Rhinolophus ferrumequinum: one gene and its partners. The protein of the gene in region 1 interacts with the protein of each later gene in a pairwise test. Links are inferred from orthologs where the notes say so. Each region holds a gene or a part of one and is shown in the gene's direction. Other genes may lie near its edges.

Region 1 (7,467 bases):
CCCTGGCTAGCTTCTCTCCCCGCCCCCTGCCTCTGCCTTTCTCCTCTCTTTTCTGTGACTCTGTTCCTTTCCCTCTCCTCACCCCTACCTCCGAGTCCCCTCCCTGGGCTCTTTTTTACTCCCCATCGACCTCCCCCTACCCCGGCTGATGCCATCTCTGGTTCTGGACAATTATCAAATATATCAGTGGGGAGAGAGAAGCGGTGTGTGTGTTGTGCTTGCTTTCTGGGCCGGAGGTGTGGGTGGGGTGGTCTCCCTGTGCTGGTACATGGAGCTCGGGGATTTGCCCAACCAGGAATTTCGCCAGCACCAGCCTGGAAGTCTCGGGGTCATGAAATCATGGCGTTTTAGACCAAACCAAAGTTAGTTAAGAGTGAGAACAGCTTGAATTCACCAGGCGATAGGATCATGGGATCAGAAGAGAGGAGAGGAAGGGACTCAGACTCGTGATGCTCGCATATTGGAGGAGGAGAAGGAGCATGGGGGGGTGATGACAGTGCCGACCGTGATGATGGTGACAGTGGCGACTGAACCGTCCGTTCTGTGCCCTGCCCTCTTCTAAGCCCTCTGTGTGTATCAGCTCATGTAATCCTCACGGTTGGGAGGCACAGAGAGGGAAAGTGACTTGCTCAAATTCACACAGCTGAGAGGCGACAAATCTGGGATTTGTACCTGGCTGTCCAAGTTCTAAGTCACTGTGCAATTTTCTCTTTTTATTGAGATAAACTTTCATACCAGGAAGTGCACAAATCTCAAAGGCGTACCGTGTAACCACCACCCAGATCAATATAGAGCATTTCCATCCACCCAGAAGGTTCCCTTATGCCTCTTTCTAGTCAGCGCCACCCCCCCCAAAAGCCACAGCTGATCTGATGTGTGTCACCATCCTTTAGCTGTGCCTGTTCTTGGACTTTGTATAAATGAAAACTTACAGCATGTTGTCTCGTGTCTGACTTCTCGTTCTCAACATCGCGTTTGTGACAAACACCCATGTATGTAGCTGTCACATGTATGTAGCCCACTCATTTTCATTGCTGTGTGTGGCTATAACATAATTTCTTCATCCATTCTCCCGTTGATAGACATTTCACTTGTTTGCACTTTGGGGGCTATTACAATTGGTGCTGCTCGGAATAGGAACATTCTAGTAATGACAGATGTATGCATCTCTGTTGGATACATGCCTAGGAGTGGGGTTGCTGGTTTTGGGATGGACTATGTTTAACAGAAATAGCTAGACCCTTTCCAAAGATGCTGTATCCTTCTGCATTCCCACACTGCATGAAAGAAAGTTCCAGTTGCTCCACTTCCTTATCAACATTCAATATTGTCAGACTTTTGAATTTTAGCCATTCTGGTTGGGTAGCTACACCACTTCCCTTGAGGCAGCCTTGTTAATACAGCCCAGAGGTGAGAGTCAGGAGGGGCTGGGGCTGGCATCCCGAGAGCTCACAAGTGTGGGTGAGTGTGTACACACGTCCACTGCACAAGACAATGGCTGGAGGAGGAGTGCCTGAACCTGAGGGGGCAGTTAGTCAAAGGGCAGGGGCATGTGTGCCAGGCACTACTCATGATGCCCAGGACACAGCCTGCCTGGTCCTGGTAGGGGTTATGTGAGCCTGGACCTCTTCAAGGGAGGCCTCAGAAACTATTCATAGGGTACAGGGTAAGAAATGCTCCCATAGACAAGTGGGCAATCAGTGGCCCAGAGAAGGCAGGGACTTCCTTGAGGTCACACAGCAAGGATATAACCCAGGTTTCTGGTTGTCTATGCTAGGGTCTTCTTCTCCTCCCAGCTCTTCTTCCTCTGGTGATCCAAGAGATAGGAAGGAGGCCTCAGGCTGGAGGGACTACAGGGCCGGGGCCCATCTCTCATAGTTTTCTCCGGTACCCCCTTACCTCCCATCTTCCCCCTGGTTCAGGCCCACCTGTCACAGGTCCCCTCTCTCACGGACCCCATCTCCCACCAGCCTCTTGTCTGAGGGATCCTCCCATATCTCACAATATCTCTACCTTAGGGCCCCTTCTTCCACAATCCCTGTTTCAAGGGCTTCTCTCCCACATTGTCTGTGGGACAAGGCCCCAACTCTCCAAATCCCCTGATTTAAAGTTCCCTCCATACTCCACTCAGGGGGCCCCTCCCACAATGTCCTTGCCTCTGGACCCCACCATCCATGGCCCATGCTGTTCGACACCTCCAGACCTTTGCCCATTATGTCCTCTGCTCAGAGCAAGTACTGGTGGGGTATGGAGTACAACCATTTTCACTGAGTTCCTATAAGGAAATCCAATAGCTCTCATAACAAAAATCAAACCCAACTTTCCCAAGGTTGGCCATGGGAGGAAGCAGCTGGACCTGTGCCTTCAACTCTCTGCTCCCCAAGATTCATCTTCTTCTTGGGGGCTCTTTCACTGGTGACCTCTGAACTCAGGTGCTGCTCCCCCATTAATGCTCTGAGCTAAGTGTGCACTCGCCATCCGCCATTTATTTCCTGAAGCCAAGCTGGACCCAAGTGGGAAACCTGAACAAGACTATTAAAAGTCTGTGTCTGACAAACGGGAAATAAACAGTAATGAGCCAACTGATCTTCAAAGTGTAGTTCATTCAGCTTCAGCTTGGGACTTCCCAAGGGTCCTCCCTGCTTATTGCTCCACCAGCCCTTTTAGCAGGGGCCACCTACCCCACCTCCTGGGAATGTCGCAGGCCTCAAAGCCCAAATCTAAAAGGGATGTGAACCTTGGAAGACAAAAACTGGGGTTAAGGGTTGCCTGGATATCCCATGTGGGACTTCTTCTTCAGCCCAACCCAGCCTTGGAAAATTAGGCCCTCGGTCCATGAAAGGGAGCACAGGCTTCCCAACACTGCCACACACATTCTTGAGGATTTTCTGTGCACCCCTTTAGAATGCCAGTCATTTTCCTGCAACTCGGTGGCAAGGGCAGGGGCAAAGACGGAAAAACCAGTGCTGTGGGAACTAGGGAAAAGAAAGGCCCCGGCCTGAGATGCCAGCCACTCTGGGGCATTCCCTGATACAGGCCAACAGCCCCTAATACATTACTGTTAAACTCGAGAAGGCTGAACTCTGAAATAGTCGTAACATTCATGATAATATAGTAGCAATAACACCCACTCCCATTTATCGAGCAGTTGCAAAGTATCGAGACTCTTTCAAGCACTTTACTGGGACCATGTAACTGAATCGTCCTAACACCTCGAGTGTGGTACCATCAGGATCCTCACTGTCTAGATGAAGACACTGAGGTTCAGGGAGGTGACAAGGTCAACACAGCCTGGATTTTCATTAAAAAATTCTCTTTTAAATGTCCTCAACCCTTTTCCTTTCCCAACTTCCCTTCTTCCCATCCAAGGGGAAGGGGAAGGGTGTCTCTAGGTTTCTAGTCCTAAACCATTTATCCCTGAGAGCCCAAGGATTGAGCAGGGAGCTTTGCAGCAACCATGGCCCTCTCGCTAGCCTGTCTCTTGAGGAAGGAATAGATTCCCACGAATTCTCTAGAGTCTCACTATTCAAAATATGGTCCATACACCAGCAGCAGCAGCATCACCTAGGTACTTATTAAAAATGCCTATCTAGGGGCCGGCCCGGTGGCTCAGGCAGTTAGAGCTCCATGCTCCTAACTCCGAAGGCTGCCGGTTGTATTCCCACATGGGCCAGTGGGCTCTCAACCACAAGGTTGCTGGTTCAACTCCTGGAGTCCCGCAAGGGATGGTGGGCTCCACCCCCTGCAACTAGGATTGAACACAGCACCTTTAGCTGAGCTGCCGCTGAGCTCCCGGATGGCTCAGTTGTTTGGAGCGCGTCCTCTCAACCACAAGGTTGCAGGTTCAACTTCTACAGGGGATGGTGGGCTGCGCCCCCTGCAACTAGCAATGGCAACTGGACCTGGAGCTGAGCTGCGTCCTCCACAAGTAAGACTGAAAGGACAACAACTTGACTTGGATAAAGTCCTGGAAGTACACACTGTTCCCCAATAAAGTCCTATTCCCCTTCTCCAATTAAAAAAAATGCCTATCCATAAATGGGCCCCACCCCATATCTGCTAAATCAGAATTTTTATCTAGTGTTTTATCAAGCTCTCCAGGTGTTTCTTATGCCCTCTAGAGCCCGAAGGACAGCTCTACACGGTCCCCATTGTACACTGCACAAGAGAGAATACCTAACACTTGCTTTCGCCTTTAGAGCTCCTATAAAGCCCACTCGTGACAACCCACCTTCCGCGACGCCACACGCCCGGCTACTGAAACTACAACTCCCACAATACCCAGAGGCGCTCATTGTCGCTTTATGTGACTACATTTCCCGAATGTGTTTTGCTAGCCAGACCACCATCATGGCGCCCACCCTTCCCGACAGCATCAGGACTACAACTCCCACAGTGCTCCGCGACAGAACTCCCGCCCCCCACGGCTTCCGAAAGGCGCCACGTCCGCTGAGCTGGTTGCGGCCCAGCTCTTGCGGGTCCCGAGGGGTCTGAGGGGCTCAGGGCTCGTTACAGCTGTTCTACCCCTCACGACGCAGACATGGCGGCGGAGAAGGACCAACAGAAGGATGCCGAGGCGGAAGGGCTGAGCGCCACGTAAGCAAGCCTACTCTAGCTCCCAGGACTGAGACCCGGCAGTTCTGGTCCTCTGCCCCCTTCTCCCTCGGGTCCCAGGAATCTGGATCCCCAGAGACTAGAGTCTAGGCCCCTGGCTTCCTCTTCGAGGACTCTGGAGCCTGGGCCCTCGGCCCCCTCTTCCCCTGGGATCCAGGAGCCTCAGACCCTTACCCCTCCCTCCCCCGTCCCCCCCATCCTGCACACCCGCAGAACCCCGGGGTTTGGGTTCCTGCATCCCCGCTCTTGCTGGAGGCCCCGCCTCGGTCTTGATCTACCGCTGACCTGGCCCCGCCCACCAGGACCCTGCTGCCGAAACTGATCCCATCCGGCGCGGGCCGTGAGTGGCTGGAGCGGCACCGCGCGACCATCCGGCCCTGGGGCACCTTCGTGGACCAGCGGCGCTTCTCGAGGCCCCGCAACCTGGGCGAGCTGTGTCAGCGCCTTGTACGCAACGTGGAGTACTACCAGAGCAACTATGTGTTCGTGTTCCTGGGCCTCATCCTGTACTGCGTGTGAGTGCCGCCTCTCCGCCCGCCCCCGCCCCAACCAAGTGGCACTGGTCGGCCCCGCCCTCAGCGGCCAGCCCCTTCTCTCCCTGGCCAGGCACCGTCCCCATGGGATAGCTCTGCCAGACTCCCCGAAGGGCCAGGTCTCCCCCATCAGCTTGAGCAGGACCCAGTGTGACCAAATGTCACCTGAACTTGCCTGGTCTCAAGGACATACATAGCCTGTCATCCGCCGGTGTAGAAGTTCAGGGTCTGTCCCCCTGGCAGTGCCAGCCGCAGCTGCCTGACGAATGCTTCCCTGCCCTCTTCCAGGATGACGTCCCCCATGCTGCTGGTGGCTCTGGCCGTCTTCTTTGGTGCCTGTTACATCCTCTATCTGCGCACGTTGCAGTCGAAGTTTGTGCTCTTTGGTGAGAAATCCCCTGCCCAGATGCATCCGTGATCCTTCAAATTCTGGTCTCTTGGAACAAAAGCCTTACATCCCACACCTAAGTCTTCCTAAACCCCCAAACTTGGTCCCTTAAAATCTCACATGCGCCAGATAATGCCACCCAGCCTCAGCCACCCAAATTGCTATTCCCCAAACCTAGAATGAGAGCCCCCGGGGCTCATTCTCCTCCTGGATGCTGTCCCTTAAATCTACTCCTCCCCTCTCTCCCTGACTTGTACAGAAAGCGTCAGCTGCAGGTATCCATAGTAGACAGCAGGTGGCGATCTTACACTGGCCCAGATCTGTCCCACGCCTCTGTCCTGCTTCCTGGGTGGGACCAGAAAGATCTTGGGACTTCTCACAGAGGGAAGCTGAGGCCTGTGGCCCATATGGTCCCAGACTGGCACCAAACATTCCCCACCTAGAGCAAGCTCAATGTTTGGAGTGAGGACAGGGAGGAATTGGGATCAGATAAGCAGGTAGTCCTGATACAGTCCTTCAACGGCCTGCAAGTTACGTACATGACAGAGATAGGCTGGTGGACAGGCCTGGTGGGCAAGCACAGGGCATGGAGGGAGCTCCTCAAGCACAGTCACTACCTGGCTTCAGCCGCTGCAGCCCCCTCGGGCCTGCAGACCCAATTTTACTCTGCCACAAGAAACCAGAAATCTATTGTTAGGTGAAATCATTCAGTTTCTCTGTTAGCCACTAATCACATTCTTGGGGAATATTGTACAGACTTAAAAAAAAACTTCCACAGGTCAGACTTGGCCTTGGGCCACCAGTCTGAGACTCCTGGCGGACCGTGGGGACATTGGAGAAATGGGTGGGGCCAGGACTTGGAGGACCTTGGCATGAGTTTGGATGATCCTAAAGCTCCCAAAAGCTTGTGACATCAGACTGTTGGGGGCATCCGGGATTACTCTGGGAGAGGACACACGTGTCAACAACTGCCCCACGCTGTCTGCCCCCAGGCCGAGAGGTGAGCCCTGCCCATCAGTATGCGCTTGCTGGGTCCGTCTCCTTTCCCTTCTTCTGGCTGGCTGGTGCAGGTTCTGCTGTCTTCTGGGTCCTGGGTGAGTACAGGGGCTGGGTAGCGGGGGTGGGTGGTGGGGGCCAGGTGAGGGAGCAAGGCCCTGAACTGTCCATTTTCTTGCAGGAGCCACCCTCGTGGTCATTGGCTCCCATGCCGCCTTCCACCAGATCGAGGCCGTGGACGGGGAAGAGCTGCAGATGGAGCCGGTGTGAGGTGTCCAGCCTCCCGAGCCAGCTGCCCCATCCCTGTTCACCCCTGTCCCGCACGGCTCTGCTGCTCCAACCAACAGCCCTCTTCCCATCACAAGTCCAGGGAGGGAACCAGCTTTGGAAATAAAGCTGTTGTAGTTGTCATTCAGCACATAAGCTCCCAGGATCTGTGGGTCTGTGCGGGGTAATGCTGGGGTACTGGAACAGAGGGGGACACACGGTGAGGGGAAGACAGTAACTAAATAACTAAAATAGGATGGCAATGGTGGTGAGTGCCAAGGAGGAGAAAAGAGTTGTGGAAGGAAACTGTGCCAGGGGTCCCCAGGGCCAGCCCCCTGTTTGATGATTTGCTAAGAGGACTCAGTATACAGTTGGACTCATAGCTGTGTTTTATTATGAAAGGATACAAAGCAGAATCAGCAAGAGAAAAAGGTACATCGGAAATCAAGAGGAAGTCAGGCATGAGCATTCCAGAGTCCTCTCCCAGCAGTCACATAGGACGTGCTTACGTCCTCCAGCAGTGAGTTGTGACAACGTGTGAAATGTCTGCCAGGGAAGCTCATTAGAGATTCAGTGCCCAGGCTTTTTATTGGGGGTTAGCCGCAAAAGTACCCTCCATCTACTTTGGCTCAAAACTCCAGATTCCCAGGAGGAAAGCAGGTGTTCCTG
Region 2 (7,325 bases), on another chromosome or scaffold:
GCGGGCACTCTGTCAGCTGGTTGTAGCTCAAGTCCTGGGTAGGAGGGGTGAAGCCAGGTCAGAGGTGTCAGCGCTGGTGCCACCTTGCCAGTCCTCTGCCAGGCTGGGGCATCAGCCAGGGCATAGAGAGGGGAGCACATGAGGGGGTTCAGGGCCAAAGGGAGACAGCAGGACCCTGGGAGGAAGGGTGCCCAGGATAACGATGTGACTCCATGAGCAACCTTGGACAAGGCACTGTCTACTCTAAGCCTCAGTTTCCCCTTCTATAAAATGGGATAACAATGGCCCAGGGGCCATAATAGTGCATGAGTAACCACTGACCAGGACTGAGAGGTCATCCAGCTTGAAGATGTCATCGGGAACTCCAGAATTCTTCAGGCAGTTGGCTCGAGCCACAATGGCCTGGGGAAAAACTGTGTGAGTGCGTGATTCCTGGCTTCCGCCCCCAGGAGAAGCAGAGGGATCAGGGAGGGACATCTCCTTAGGAAGCTCACTGGAGGCCAGGCCTCAATGCTCTCCCATCCTAGTCTTTACACATAGTTCCTCCACCTGGTGAGCTCTTCCTAGCCTCCCTATGAGCTCCTGTTCACACCTCAAAGCCCAGATCAAATGTGCCCCACAGCCCAGCACAGGGTCCTCAGGGAACCTTTTCCGATTGAACAATCTCTCCTCAATTCCAGAGGGCAAGATGGGGATGTAGCTCTGAATCAGGTCTTCTAGAACAGAGAGGGTTGGCCCACAGGGAAATGAGAGTATGGGCTGAGCACGACTGTTTCCTCTCCTCTTAGAGCTGAAACCTCCTCATGCTACAGACCTCTAGAAAGTTCAAGGGGGAGAGAAGACAGGTTGGGTAATGGTGCCGGGATGGCAAATAACAGCAGGGTTCAGGGCAGCCGCTGCCTCTCCTTTGGCCCTAACGTCTGTGGTGCCACGCTGCTTCACAGCGGTCCCCCACTGAACCCTCCCCAGAAAGTAGAAGGGACTTGTCTGAGGTCATGCAGCCAGGAAGTGGCAGAGCTGGTGTGAACTCAGGCAGCCTGAATCCAGAGGCTGTGCCCTTAACATCTCAGGGCTCCAGCCATGGACAGGACGACCTTTGCTGAGGCCAGAAGGGTCTGGCCGAGAGCCGGGTGTTCTGGGATGTCAGAGGCTCTGTGAAAAGCAGAAGGGTGAGCAGGCACCCTGACTACCTCCCCTCCCGGCTAAACCCCATCCTACACCAGCTCTGCCAATGTGTGGCTGTGTGACCTCCGGCAAGTGACCTGCCTCTGCGGCCAAGTGTCCTCATCTGTGAAATTGGGAGAAGTCAGGATTGTAAGAAAAAACCCACGTGGAAATAGTCGGAGCAGTGCTTAGCCACTATTAGTTGTTGTTATTGTAGTTGTCCAAAAAGGGTGGGATTTTGGATTTTTTTACGTTTTGCCCCATGGGTTACTTAACACAGGGCATCATTATATCCTCTCCCCTTTAGGGACAGGCCCCTGGGCCTGACACAGGGATAGGCAGAGGTGCTAGTCCAGCTTGGGTCTGGCTCTGTCCTCACACCTCTGGCTGGACTCGAATCCCCACCTCCAAGCATGGTGGCCTCCAGCAGCACTCACCCGAAGCGATGGCAGACTGGACAGCTCCCCATGAAGCGTGGTCAGGTGGTTGTGGCTCACAGACAAGTGCTCCTGGGCCAGGACAAGGGAGCAGAGGCTCAGCGGAGGCCCCATCTGCCACCACAGTCTTGCACCATCCGGGGTGGCCCTCAGCCACACATGGCGCAGTCCACCCGTGCAGCCTCCCTCCCTCTCTGCCAGCTCTACTCGTGGTTATCAGCATCTTCCTCCGCGGCTTTCTGCACAGGCTCCGCCCACCTGGCCCAGCCCCACCCACAGGGACCCACCCTGCCTGCTGAAAGCCCCTTACCAGTTTCTGCAGAGCAGCCAATTCCTCTGGCAGGTAGCAGAGGCCAGTGCGGTTCAGCTTCAGCCATCGCAGACTGGTCATGGCCTTGACATTCTCAGGGAAGTAGCCTCCCTGGGGGGTATGCCATGGTGAGGCTGGTCTGGGACAGGAACGTCCCTGCTCTACCACCCTCTATCGTCCCCAACTGCCCATGGAAGCCTTTGGGGAGCAACAGAGCCAACTCTCACCAGCTGTGTGACCCTGGACAAATCATTTTGCCACTCTGTGCCTCCATTTCCTCATCCATAAAATAGGGCTAATAAAAGCCCTCTGAGGACAAAAGTGTTGTGAGGACCAAGTAGTTATCAGCATGGCTGTTGGCCTAAGATCTGTCTCTCTTGCTGGATTCTGAGTCCCAGGAGGGTCGGGATGAAACTGGCTTGTTCCAGGTAACACCTCCAGTGTCCAGCTGTGTGGCTCACATGCCTTTGCCCAGCATTCCAGGCTCTGCCTGGGCCACCAGAAGTGAGGGTACCCCCTGAGGCTGTGCCAAGGTCCCACCTGTGCCCCCACCCTGCCATCAGCATACAAGCCGTTTATGGCAAGGCCCAACCCCCGGTGCAAGGCCCCAGCTCCCCACCCTGCACAGGCACTGCCTTGTTCATTTGTTTACCCATTCATTCCCCACATTCAAATGCCCACCCCAGTACCCCCAGCCCTTGTGGCAGGGAGCCTGGGATAGCATGTGCCTTTAGTGCCCTTGGCTGTGTCCCCTTCCCCCTATAGCCACGTTCCCCGCCAGTGACTCAGACTCCGCGTCTGAAGAGGACACAAGGAGACCCCAGGTGAGATTAGTGCGAATGGAGGCATTGAAAGTGGTGTGGCCACCGGTGCATGGGGTCAAAGGTGTGTGCACATGTGGGTAAGTGCAGGAAGAACCAGCCTCCCCTCAGTCCTGGCCCCACGACCCCAGCCGAAGCCTGGGCTCCCTTACGCTAAACTGACTCGGGCCTGAGTCTGCCCACTCACCCACCCTGCAGCAGGGGCTGCCCCTCTTGGTACTACTCCAGGCAGCTCTCACCTCCACTCTTGCCCTGACTCCTCTGGTCACCGGCACTGCTCACCTCATCCTTGCCTCTAGAGCCACCTCGCCCACTAACTGGCTGGAAGGCTGGGCTCAGGCTCCTTGTGGCCCTGGTCTTGTCAGTCCATAAGCTGCTCAAACAACGGCTACCCAGGGCCTCGCACAAATGTCTGACACACTCTCCACACCAACTAATCCATGCTTCCAAGAGGACTACTTTTAAGCCCCTTTACTGGATGAGAAGACCGAGGCTGTGAGACAGGAAGTGATTTGCCCAAGACCACACAGGACGGGTATGGCGGTGGCAGGGACAAAGCAGTGGCCGTGAAGAGTTCCAGACCCGCCCGGGGACAGCCCAACAACCTGCAGCGCGACAGTGAGTCAGGGCCTGGCTTGGGCGTGTGACCTCAGCGGGACGGGGAAGGGGGGCTGGGGAGGTGGGAGCAGAGCTCAACGACCCCGCTCCACTCTCCGGCCCCGGCGGGGCCCAGATGCCAGGACGATGACACGGGGTGGGGGCTCTCAGCCCATCCCTAGCGTGACTCCGAACCCAAGCGTCCACGCCGGCCCGACCCGGCCTCGGTCTTCCCGTAAGGGCACCGAAAGGAGATCTTGGGGATCCGTTCCGGGCGGGGAACCCGAGCCCCGGGAGAGCCCCACCCGGCCCCGCCCGCAGTCCCGAGCGGTACTGGGCCCGGGGGCGGACGGGACAGGAAGCAGAGACCGGTGCGGGCTGGAGCGGAAGAGACGGCCTAGAGCGGGGCCCGGCCCGCCGCCGGGTCGCCTCACCTTGAAGTCGTTGCCGCTGAGGTCCACACCGCGCACGAACGGCAGCACTCCAGTGGCCTCCATGGCGCTGCTCTTGCTGCCGGGCCGGGCCAGACGCTGGGGGCGGCTGGGAGAGCCGCGGGCTGGGCCAGCGCCGACCCCGCCCCTTTAACTCGCCCCCGCCCGGGCCGGCGGGAAGGCGGAGTCAGGCCCCACCCCTCTAGCCCCGGCCCCCTCCCCTGGCGTCTTTAGGCCTCCCCGGGCCTCAGTTTCCCTGTCTGTCCGAGTACTGGAGGGACCTCGAGGAGTCCGGGCGTCCCGGTGCTCCCCGCAGGTGGCTTCATAACCTCCAGGCTAAGTCCGTGAGCCCCAGGGCCGGGGCTGTGTCACGGGCGCTGTCCGCTGCACTGCAGCCGCAACTGAAGTTGGCTGTGGCCGGGGAGGTTCTGGACCCAGGTCGGGGGGCGCAGAAGGCCCGGGAGTCTCTGTTCACCCCCTGGGCCCTGTGTGGCTACCAGCGGTAGTGGGACGCAGAGGCCCTAGCGTCCCGGAGCTGTGGGCAAGCCCAGACCTCCTCCTGGCCTGTTTCTCCTCATCTGTGAAGTGCTTCCTAAGGTTGTCGCCAGAAACAAATGAACAAACGCAGCTGCAGCTCACGGCATACAGAAAGCACTCGGTAAGTGGCGCGTTATTTCTGCTTAGAGTCAGCAGCCCCTCACGTCCATTCATTTGCTTGCTCGCTCCCCTTGACCCGCACATAGTCGCTCCCCAATAAACAAATGAACCACAGGTCATATGCACAACCATCCTTCGCAAGGGTGGAGGGGGCCTGGCGTTTCCATTTCACGGGAGAGAAAACTGAGGCTCGGGTGGAGAAGTGGCCGGCACAAGGTCACACGGAGCTGGTGGCAGGGGTAGTTCTGGGTCACGCTGTGTGCCCCGCAGGCCAACAGATAATAACGAGGCCACCAAGGCACTCTCGCAGAAGTGACCTAAAGGGTCAGACCTGCGCGCCTCTGGGCCAAGTGCCGACTGTCTGCCCTGCCCCTAGAAGGAACGGGGGCGCTGATAATTTTCTCCAAACCAGAAGCTCATATTACAATCACACACACGTCACAAGGGGCCCGGAAGGCCAGCCAGCTCATTCCGCAACCCCCGGCTGTGCCACCACACCGCTGGGCGGGAGGCTCGGAACACAACTCTGCGCCTTTAAATCCGGGATGCGTCAGAAAGTCCCACCTCCGCAGAGCGCGGAACGCGGTTAGGGGGCGTGGCCTGGTCACCATTGGCTGAACCGCATAGTATTTTGGAACGAGGGAGCGGGCCTTGAGCACTCCGATTGGGGCTAGGACCTGCTCGTCTGCTTGCGTTCCGGGGTCAGCGACCGCCCCCGGAGCCTTAGCGTTCGGTTCCCAGGTCCTTCCCATTCCATTCCCGGGCGGGTCGGGGTCCGGGGCCCAAGAAGACCCGCTACCTCCGACAGTTGGTGCGCTGAAGCAGCGACGCAGGTACGGCCCGAGCGGGGCGGCCCGGGTCACCCAGCCCCGGCGTGGAGAGTCGGGGGCGGGGCCACCGCTGCGGCCGGCGGTCACCGCCAGAGAAGGAGGGAATGGCTTTGGGCCCTCAGGCTGGAGTTCGAATCCCGTTTCGGGTACATCACTTAGTTTCTCAGGGCCTCGGTGAGGTCCCCTGTGAGCCGGGCCTTGACAGGTCTTCAGGGGCTGCTCCGCGGCCCGCTCAGCCCCCGTCCTGGGTTTGGCGGAGGAGGGGAGGACAAGCGGCATCCCAGGGCTCTACCCCGCCAGGCTGCGCAGTCAGGTTATTTTTAACCCCCGCGCCCTCCTCCCTTTCCTCGAGTGGGCAGGCTGCGTGTTGGGGCCTGCGCGACCCTGCCAGGGTTTGGGCTGAGTCCTAGCTTAGACAGGTGTGGGGTATTGAAAGCACTTTACTGTTTGCAAAGTGGCTTCCCCGTCCCTCTGGAGGCAGGTGGCCATACCGGTCACCTGTGAGAGAACTGACTGCTGTGCTGTAGTGGGCACCCTGCCAGCCTTTCACCAACCCAGGCCCCGGAGCCGGTTTTTATTTTTAGTCTGGGCGAATGGGGGGGCGGGGCGGGTGTTGTCCTGGCATCTCGTAACCTGGCAACAGCCCTAAGTGCCCACAGCCCCAGGCAGGGAGGGTGGAAGTCCTTGGTGCCCTAGCCGGCTCCGAGCTCAGGGTCATCTGCTCAGGTGTCCTCAGTGAGCCAGTGCTGCCTGGTGTCTGACTGGTCGGTCCCCTGAGCGTCCCTCTTGATCACACACTCTCAGCTCCCAGGGCCTGACGGCAGGAGTCCCCCTAGAGGAACCTGCCGCTGGGGCGTGGTGGATGGGGCCGTGGGAGAGGTCTCTGCCTCTGCCTCCCGAGTGCCTGACCCACCCAGCCCCACTGTTCTGGGCTCCTCTCCCTAACCCTGTCTGTGCCACTTTACAGGTGAGCAGATAGCTGAGGCTTCCGGCGCTCAGCTTACCTTCTCTGTTCTTTGGGCTCCGTGCAGCTGAGGGCAGCTCCCCACCTCCCCATTGTCCCAAGCCCAAGAGGCCAAGAGAGGTCCCTGGCCCCTGGGCCCGTCCTCTGCTTGGAGTCTTCGTGTTTACTTTGCCCTCTGTCCCCGCAGCGGGGCCTTTGGCTTTGACCAGCACATGTCCATTGACAGGCAGCTCGTGCGCGCTCCTCCCCCCACAGCCTGGGCCATCTCACTGGATAGCTCTGCCTCTGGCGGCTACCTTGTCAAGATTTGGGGGTGACTGGCCTCACTGAGGTCTGAGACGCGCTCCAGGGCAGGCTGTCTGGGACCCCACGTTGTGGTTTCTCTGGGCCTTGTTTCCTCCTGCTGTGCCAGGGGTGAGGAAGCAGGGTGAGGCAGCCTCTAGGACCTGACCGCAGACGGGGTCTGATGGGACTCGGGGGGTGGGCAAGAGTCTGGAGGCTTGGCGGTCGTGGATCCAAGAACCCACTACTTACGTATGGTTCAGCAGCCCGTTTCTCTGTAAAATTGGGGTGATGGTAAGACCTTCCTCATGAGTCTTTGGTGACATCAGGAGTCCTGGGTGGGAGGGTCAGGGAGATGGGCCCCCTTCTCTGACCTATCCAGGGCCTTTCTGTGTGAGCCCCCCTGTCCAGGGGGTGGGTGGGTTGTTGACAGGTTTGGGGAAGGGGGCTCAGGCAGTTCCCCATCTCCTCACAAGAAACCCCTTGAGTGGCCCCTTTCTTCTGAAACTCGGGAATCCACCTTGTGGGCTTGACTCAGAGACCCCAGCGTGATGGCAGCCAGAGTGCCTACCCACACCTGCCGCACTGCCAGCCTGGCTGCCCCCACACTCAGTGGTCCCTGCACCCTGGCTCTCTTACAGGCAGACAGACATGGTACTGTTCTTCCAGAAGCGGGGGAAGCGGCATGACGACGACGTGCTGGGCAATGCTGTGGACTTCCTCCTGGCCAATGCCCGCCTGGTGCTGGGCGTGGGCGGGGCTGCCGTGCTGGGTATTGCCACCCTGGCTGTGAAGCGGGTAAGGCCTGGGGCTCACAGGGGAGGATGCCAGG
Region 3 (8,015 bases), on another chromosome or scaffold:
ATAGGTAGAGCAGGAGTGGAAACATTGTCCAACTTCACAATTTCCCCTGAGACTTTTCACCGTGGCTGCCTACTATACGTCGATTAAATGTGGTGCTTTGGAGCCATTGAAATGAAGGGATGTTTCTCACACGATCATCGGACATCTTAAATCCGGAGTTCTGTCTGACAGTACAGTTGACAAAAACTCTTTCCTTGACCAAACTCTGGTCAGGCTCCTTTGAGCCTTCTTCTCAACTAGGTTTCAACCTGGGCCAATAAAAACTACAGACTCAGCACATTTTTGTCCACTCACCCACCCACACACTTGACATTTGAACCAACACCAGGATAGTTTCTAACATCTCAAGGCCACATCCTTAGGATAACCCTCGCCCCCTTAAAATGCTAGCATGAGCAAGTTCAGTGCTGCCTGGAGAATTTACTGTTTGTTCCAGCCCAAACCTGGTTATAGGCAGTTAGGCCCCAGAACCCCTTCTTAGAGCAGTTACTTTAGAAAGCTTGCAATTATAAATCTTTTCTTGCTTCCTGTCTCTGAAATGCAAACATTCCCTCACTCCCAGCCCAGTGCTCTCTCCTGCACCACTGCTTCCTATCGTAAGGATGCAAGAAGTTTGTCTTCCAGGTAAATGCCAATTAACAAACCCAGATGGCCTAGTCACATGGACCACCCCTCTTAACACCCATCCATGCCTTTTCCTTAGCACATCGCAGCTTTTAAAAAGTCTATTTTTTGTTTTAGTGACATTTACTTCACACAGGGCCCTTTTCCCTATTGCTATTACTGAATAAAGTCGATTCTTACTGCTTTAACTATGTCTGGCTTTCTCTATCTTTGACTGTGTGTGTGTATGTGTGTGTGTGTTGATTCAGAAGAGGGGACAATTTCTGGTATAGTCATGTGCCACATGATGACGTTTCTGTCAGCAATGGACCACATATACGATGGTGGTCCCATAAGATTATAATGGAGCTGAAAAATTCCTATCACCTAGTGATGCTGTAGCCATCGTAAAGTCGTAGTGTAACACATTTCTCACGTGCTTATGGTGATGCTGGTGTAAACAAATCTAATATACTGCCAGTTGTATAAAAGTGTAGCGCATACAATTTTGTACAGTGAAACTTGGTAATGATAATAAATGACTTGCTGGCTTCTGTATTTACTATACTGTACGTTTTATTGTTATTTTGGATTGTACTCTATCTACTTGTAAAAGAAAAAGTTTGTTATGACAGTATGCCATGTTATGCCGACAGCAGCCTCATACTCATACATCTCTGGTTTACCGTGTCTCTTGCTTGAGACATCATTTTCTCTTGTGCTTGATTTAATCGTGTTTTTTTGTATAGTAACATTTGTTCAGGCGTGTAGCCAGGGAACAATAGGCCATACCATCCAGGTTGGTGTAAGTACACACTGATGTTCACACGACGAGGAAATCGCCTGAAGATACACTTCGCAGAACATATCCCTTCACTAAGTGCTGTGTAACTGTGGTCTAGTACTTCCACACCAGGGCAGCTTTAACCCCAACCTCGAACTGCATAGTGCTACCCCTATCTTCCTCCTTCTTTACCCCACTCCAAGCCCCTCCTCCCCTGCTCTCTGACTTGGTAGGGGCCTTAGTCCCCTTGCTGGCAGGTAAACTGGCTACATCTGGGTCACTTTTAGCTCCTCCTTTCTCTCCACACCTTCAGATTCTGTGTTCTCTCTGGAATCTCCTCGCCTTTCCATTCTTGAGGCAATTGCCCTAGGTCAGCACACATCATCTCTTGCTAAATGACTCTAATTACCGTTTAACTAATCGCCCCATCTCCAGTCTCTACAGAACTCTGAAGTGCTCCTTTTAAAACACTGAGCTGATCACCTCACTTTCCTTCTCCGAAATTTTCTTGACTTTCTATTGCCTACTGAATAAAGCTGAAACTCCTTAGCAGGCATTTGGGGGCTCCCATGATCTCACCTTCACCTCAATGTCTCCCACTGCGTCTTCCATGGAACTAGTCTTTAAACACAGGTGTATCTTCCTACTTCTAGGGTTATGCTCACATTCTTTTGTCATTCTAGGATAAATGACTCCCTTGTCCCCATTTCTGCCAAAGGTCAAAATTTTAAACGTCTTCAGGGCCTCATTCAAATAGCGTTTCCTTCAGGAGAATATTCCCAATAGTTTGAGTTGGAATTGTTTTCCTCCTTTGTACTTCTACCTCATATCATTTTTTGAATGTCAGGTTCATAATTCAGGTATAATTTATATACAGTTAGATTCACCCTTTAATTATTTTAAATATTTTATTTATTTATTTATTTATTTATTTATTTATTTATTTATTTATTTATTTATTAAGGAGGGCGCAGCTCACAGTGGCCCCTGCGGGGAACGAACCAGCAACCTTGGTATTATTAGCACCACGCTCTAACCAACAGAGCTACCAGCTGCCCCAGATTCACCCTTTTAGGTATATAGTTCTTTGAGTCCTGACAAGTATATACAATTGAGAAACTAACCATCACCACAGTGAAGATACAGATTACAGCTGATCCTTGAAAAACGCAGAGGTCAGGGGCGCTGACCTTCCGTGCAGTGGAAAATTCGTGTATAACTACTGTATTCCCATCAAACAAAAAAGTTCTCTTCTGGCTCTTTGTAGGTAATTCCCTCCTCCCACTCCTAGTTCCTGGCAATCACTGATCTGATTTCTGTCCCTATACACCTCATATTATTTTAACTTATTTTTGCATTTTCCCCTGTAGGCCTTGTTTGTGTGTACATCTTTCTCTCACTGGGCTGTAATCTTCTTGCAGAGAGCTGTAATTATTCACCTTTGTATTCCTCATGGTTCCAAGCACAAGTTCCAAACACATTTATTACATGCCAGGTCATAAATATTTGATAAAAAGAAAAGGGGGGGAAAAAAAGGAAAAAGAAAGAAGAAAAAAAGGAAGAAAAGAATGACCCAAAGAACAAATGGACAAACAGCCCTAGGAGAGTTCAACTAATAGGGCTCTTGCTAGTTTAATGAATCATTCTGAGTTACTAATCTGAACTATAAAAGTAGCTGCTTTTAAACACCTACACAAAATACACTGTCTGAATCAGAAAAACTGAGACTTTAAGTTGGCAAGGACATCTTAATGTAAATGACATGTAAGTTGCAGTAGGATGTAGGAAACAACTAGCCACCACTCCAAAGCTAAGCTGCATCTGATCTCCTTGCATATTACAACACTATAAGATATGAGGCATTCTGTCCTTGGTATACAGCAAGTACACTTAAAAGTTTCAGGAAAGTTAAGGGAAGAAGAAAGGTAATTAACATTTACCAGGTGCCCCCAGTCATTGTACTATATTGTATTTTTCTTACAACTACTCTCTCACTTAGGTTAGAAATTATTAGGAGGTATTTTTCATTGAGAAAGGAAATAGACAATTCAAGGAAATTTAGGGGTGTACCTCCAAGGAGAGGGGAAGGTTAAAAATTGTATTTTTGGCTCAGGATGAGTTCTTCAGAGATTTTCTGAGTTGTCCTTCCGTGAAATTACAATAAGCAGGTAAGGACAAGAGTTTCGGGTAATAAACACTTTGATGTTGATTCTTTCAGGATACTTCTGGTATGGTGACCATATTCAATTCAGGAGCCAATAATGAGGTGAAAGAATTCTAGTGTACTGTTTGATGAGGTTGTCAACTGAGGCACGTGGTGGAATTTAGGAGATAAGGAGTGTAGTTACTAGAAAATGGGTAGTAATAAGAACTGCCTTCTTTCCATCACTTGGTGTCATGGAAATTTAGTGATTTTGCAATCACTCTTGGGGGATACTTTTCCTGGTTCTTAGACAAGTTGGAAGATAAACTTTGAACAATGTATTATACTATGCCCTTTGTAATTAAATAACCCAAGATAATGTGTTAAAGTTTAGTGGAGATTGAAATTCCTGAGTTGATTAAAGAGAGTTGTTAAGAATAACTCTCATGTAAAAAAAAAAAGTGTTACTATTACTCCGTTTCTAGGTATTATATAGTGATGAACTGCAGGTTTATATAGCTTATTACTTTCCAATCTTGCAGAACAGCTCAGCATTCAACAACTAAAAATAACTACAATTCAACTTGAAGGCTGAGACCAGGGAACACCTTGAATGTTTGGTTGACTCTGGGCTGTGACCCGTTCACAGAATGTGGAGCCACTAAAAGTTGTGCGGTAGTGATGGAAGTGCAATTCCAGGAAGATAAATCTGGCTATGTGTGCAAATGGCCTGAAACAGAGAAGAGATAAAGGCAGTTAGTCCACTCCGAGGCTACTGCAGTATCTAAGCTGCGGAGATCAGAGAAAGGCTGAAAGGGAATGGTAAGAAATCAAAAAAGAAAATGGTAGTGCCTGCGGCCAGCACTGGAAGATGACCGGACTCAGTGGGGTTAGCTGAGTGAAGAAGAAAACTGAAAGAACGGTTTTGTGTTTTCGAGATCCGAAGTTTTCAGCAGGGACTCCCTGACTCCTCTTCCGTCCTTAGAGCGGACGTCCTGGGATCAGCCGAAAAGCTCAAGCCTCAAGCTGGTCAGGCCAGCAAAAGGCGCACGGGAGGCAGGACCACCCCGGAGTGTCCTCCAGCACCCCTTCCTTCCCCGCCTCCATATTCCGGCGTTTCTTCGGGTTCCGACCTCTCTCTCCTCGCCCATCCGAGTCCCCTGATCTCCCCAACCCCCATCCTCCATCTGCAGCCAGCACCGCCTCCAGCCCCTTTCCTCCCCCTCCCCCTTGGGGTGCTGACTCGCCCGGCTGCCACGTCTCACTGATGACATCACCAGGGCCGCTCGGCCTTAGCCAATCCGCTAGGGGGAGTCCGAGCGAAGTCCTAGCCAGCGAGTCAGCGGGAGGGGAACAGGGAGGGGCGGAGTAGGGCGGTGAGAGAGTGGGGAATGGGGAGGGCGACAACCCCTCAAGTACGCATGCACCAGAGGCGCGGGGCTTGGCGGGAAGTTGAGTCCTGGCCTCCGCTCCGCACCGTCAGTTCCCAGCGCTTACATGCGCTCTAGCAACTCTCTTTCCCGGCATGCCACGCGGTGCGTCCGCCCTCTGGGCTGTGTAAAGGCCCCTCGGTCTAAGGCTTCCCTATTTCCTGGTTCGTCGGCGGCCATTTTGGGTGGAAGCGATAGCTGAGTGGCGGCGGCTGCTGATTGTGTTCTAAGGGGACGGAATAGGGGAAGACGTTTGCTCTCCCGGAACAGCCTATCATTCCTCTCCTTCGATTACCCGTGGCGCGGAGAGTCAGGGCGGCGGCTGCAGCAGCAAGGGCGGCGGTGGCGGCGGCGGCAGCTGCAGTGACATGTCCAGCATGAATCCTGAATAGTAAGTGCAGGAGAACACCGGTCGGCTGGGTCCGTGGGCCAGCTTGGGAAAGCTTAAAGGGGGCGAGGAGGGCAGGGATGGGCCTCGGCCGGGGTGAGGTGAAGGTGATGGGGCAGGAGAGGCAGGCGGACGGGAGTCGGGCCCCATTATCTGACGAAGGAGGGGCGGCCTCGGGGAGGGGTCCGGCCGGAGGGATGAGCCAGCCGGGCCTGGACCAGGTCCGGGTGGAGGGCCTGAGGGCCGGGCTGATGCGGAGGCACAGTCTGCTGCGGGGGGTGGGGCGGTGGGAACGGGTAGCTTCTCCTGGAGGCAGTGACTTTTGAAGGAGGACTTGTTTTTAAGGGGAGACGATGGGGGGAGAGCTCTCCTAGAGGGCACTGTCAGACCCTGCGCCGGCCCCTACTCTGCGGAGCTGTCAGAATCGTCTGGGTGGAAACCAGCTTTACTTGTAAATCTTGAGCTTGTTGGCTCTCTCTCCTTCCACCCTCCCCGCCAGGTTGCAGGTAATATGGATGCTTTTCAGGACTGCGTGGGATTGAAGGGAAAGAGTAGATGGTGAGAAGTGATTTAAAATTTTTAGTTCTCTGTGTTAGTTATTTCCTGGAGTTCTTTTAAGAACTCGCCGGGCCCACTGCCTTCCTAAAAACCTGGGCATTTGGGAGAATTTTTTTTTTTTTAGAGGACACTAAAGTCATTTTGTTTTGTGTAGGTCAAGGAAAAACATGATTAAAAACGTAGGAACGTCTTTCTTGATATTACCAAATTAAAGAAAGCCTTTGCTGTCAGGTTGAAAGAGAAACGAATGGGCCCTATGATAGATCTGTAGGTTTTGTATTACCTACTTGAATGTTTGCAGATAGGGAATGAGGTTCCATGACGTGTCATGAAAAGTTAATGCATTTCTTTTTCTTGCTTACTCAAGAAGTCACCACAGCAGATGTGACACACCTGGCACTTTTCCTGGGAACTGGTGTTCACTTTCCTTGGGAAGACTTTGTTGGGCTCTCCTTAAGGGCCTAAAAAAAAAAATCCTCCAACAGTTTGCATATATAAATTAATGACTAATCAGAGGAGATTTAGTTGGTATTCCTCTTCCGTGTCAGAAGGCTTTGGAGGAGAGGGTGAAATTTTTTTAAAGCAAAAGTCAGGATTTATTCTAAAAGTTGAGTTTATTTGCTTGCTTTGGTCAATTACTGTTAAACATTTTCCCTAAAAGGGTCATCCATCAGTTTAGCTGACTGTCTCATGTGTGTGTCACATGGCTCTTGCAAAATGCATTCTGACTTCAAGTTTTGTAATACTGTGGTTTGATGCTGACATGTCCCCTTTTTGTATTAAACAGAAGCTATAGTTTTTGTTAAAATTTCATCAACTTTAAGTTGAGGATAGTGTTCTAATAGTGCCATTTGCTATGTTGGCAAATTAAAACTTTTTAATTTCTTTATGAAGGGCTCCAAGGACAAAATTGGTTTTGCTTAGTTGGACAGAGTTGAACTAGAAGTCCCTAATGGAGTAGTTTTCCTGGCAACAATAAAGTACATGAAATTGCCACTGTCTGAGGATTTGTAAACCACCTTTGTTAGGAAGTTTCTTATATTTGCTACATATATTTAGTACTGTAAATAGACCTTGAAAATTAGTTGAGCAGAACCGTGACATTATGTAGCCTCTGAAGTTGTTTCTCCTTTTGTAAAATAAGGTGATAGGAGTCATTATTCCTGTCAGGGTAGTTGTGAGGTTCAAGTGTGTGTGAAAGAATTTGGAAAACTGTAAGAACAGCCTAGGTGGTGTACATTCATTACATGTAAGATATTCTAGTAGTGCTAGGATTTAGGAATAATAATCCTTATCCTCCAGGAATTTATAATGGAATATGAAAAATAGATTGTGTGTGTGTTAAATACCAGTAGATACAGCAAGTTCCAGATGTGTGGCATGGTTTGGAGCAGTAAGATTTCAAAGGAGGGTAGTGGGTTGTGGTTGGCTAGCTGAGTTCAGGAAGGCTTTACAGAAAAACCTGTTAGGGAATTATTAGCAGTAGATTTGGAGAAGCAGAAGGGAATGAGGAACATTTTTCAAGGGGGAGGAAGGAAGAATGGTTAATAAGTGGCAAGTATTGTAATTCTTAAGTAAATAAATACAGTGCCAAATCATCCTTTCCTTTGAATACTCTAGATCAGGGGTGTCCAAACTGCGGCCCGCAGGCCAACTGTGGCCTGGGATCCATTTGTTAATTGGCCCGCAGCAAATACAAAAATATATTTAGTTTGCTTAAATAAACCAGGTGAGGCAATACGTACTTCACCTCGAGTGAGTGGCCCGGCTGTCTGTGTATTTTACCGCATTGGCCCTTGGTGAAAACAGTTGAAAAAAGTTTGCACACCCCTGCTCTAGATGAATGACCTCAACAGAATCAAACCCTGAAATCATGTTTACATTTTTTCTGTCATTGAATATGCCAGTACCTGGCCTACTATATATTTTATATTGTGTCTAGTAAAATAATATAAAAGTTCGGGAAAACTTTGGAAAAGTATTAGTGAAAATAACGAGGTTAGATAAAATTATGGATATTTTATTGGGGAAGGTCGCAAGAGCTACGAGCAAAAAGATTTTTAGCAATCTGACTTCAGCAGCTGCTTTTTTTCTTGAATGAAATTTGTT

Evidence for each region.
Region 2: the proteins of RABAC1 (region 1) and MIEF2 interact in binary tests that used the Homo sapiens proteins (3 or more experiments, as listed by UniProt). The two-hybrid records come from large-scale screens. The link is inferred for Rhinolophus ferrumequinum from reciprocal best matches to the Homo sapiens genes RABAC1 and MIEF2.
Region 3: the proteins of RABAC1 (region 1) and RAB1A interact in a two-hybrid assay, tested with the Homo sapiens proteins (2 studies listed by BioGRID and IntAct). The link is inferred for Rhinolophus ferrumequinum from reciprocal best matches to the Homo sapiens genes RABAC1 and RAB1A.

Annotation. Positions count from the first base shown.
Region 1 is NC_046298.1:39,928,385-39,935,851, reverse strand, and holds RABAC1 (prenylated Rab acceptor protein 1), read left to right. Parts: upstream 1-4,404; 5' UTR 4,405-4,540; coding exon 4,541-4,596; intron 4,597-4,916; coding exon 4,917-5,129; intron 5,130-5,435; coding exon 5,436-5,533; intron 5,534-6,527; coding exon 6,528-6,629; intron 6,630-6,712; coding exon 6,713-6,801; 3' UTR 6,802-6,954; downstream 6,955-7,467. UniProt on the Homo sapiens protein: General Rab protein regulator required for vesicle formation from the Golgi complex. May control vesicle docking and fusion by mediating the action of Rab GTPases to the SNARE complexes.
Region 2 is NC_046304.1:608,636-615,960, reverse strand, and holds the start of MIEF2 (mitochondrial dynamics protein MID49), read left to right. Parts: upstream 1-4,257; 5' UTR 4,258-4,374; coding exon 4,375-4,418; intron 4,419-5,124; exon of another isoform or gene 5,125-5,250; intron 5,251-7,134; coding exon 7,135-7,291; intron 7,292-7,325. Other genes in the region: FLII (protein flightless-1 homolog), read right to left, coding at 1-34, 322-402, 1,602-1,673, 1,912-2,022, 3,764-3,826. UniProt on the Homo sapiens protein: Mitochondrial outer membrane protein involved in the regulation of mitochondrial organization.
Region 3 is NC_046296.1:24,938,346-24,946,360, forward strand, and holds the start of RAB1A (ras-related protein Rab-1A), read left to right. Parts: upstream 1-4,947; 5' UTR 4,948-5,328; coding exon 5,329-5,351; intron 5,352-8,015. UniProt on the Homo sapiens protein: The small GTPases Rab are key regulators of intracellular membrane trafficking, from the formation of transport vesicles to their fusion with membranes.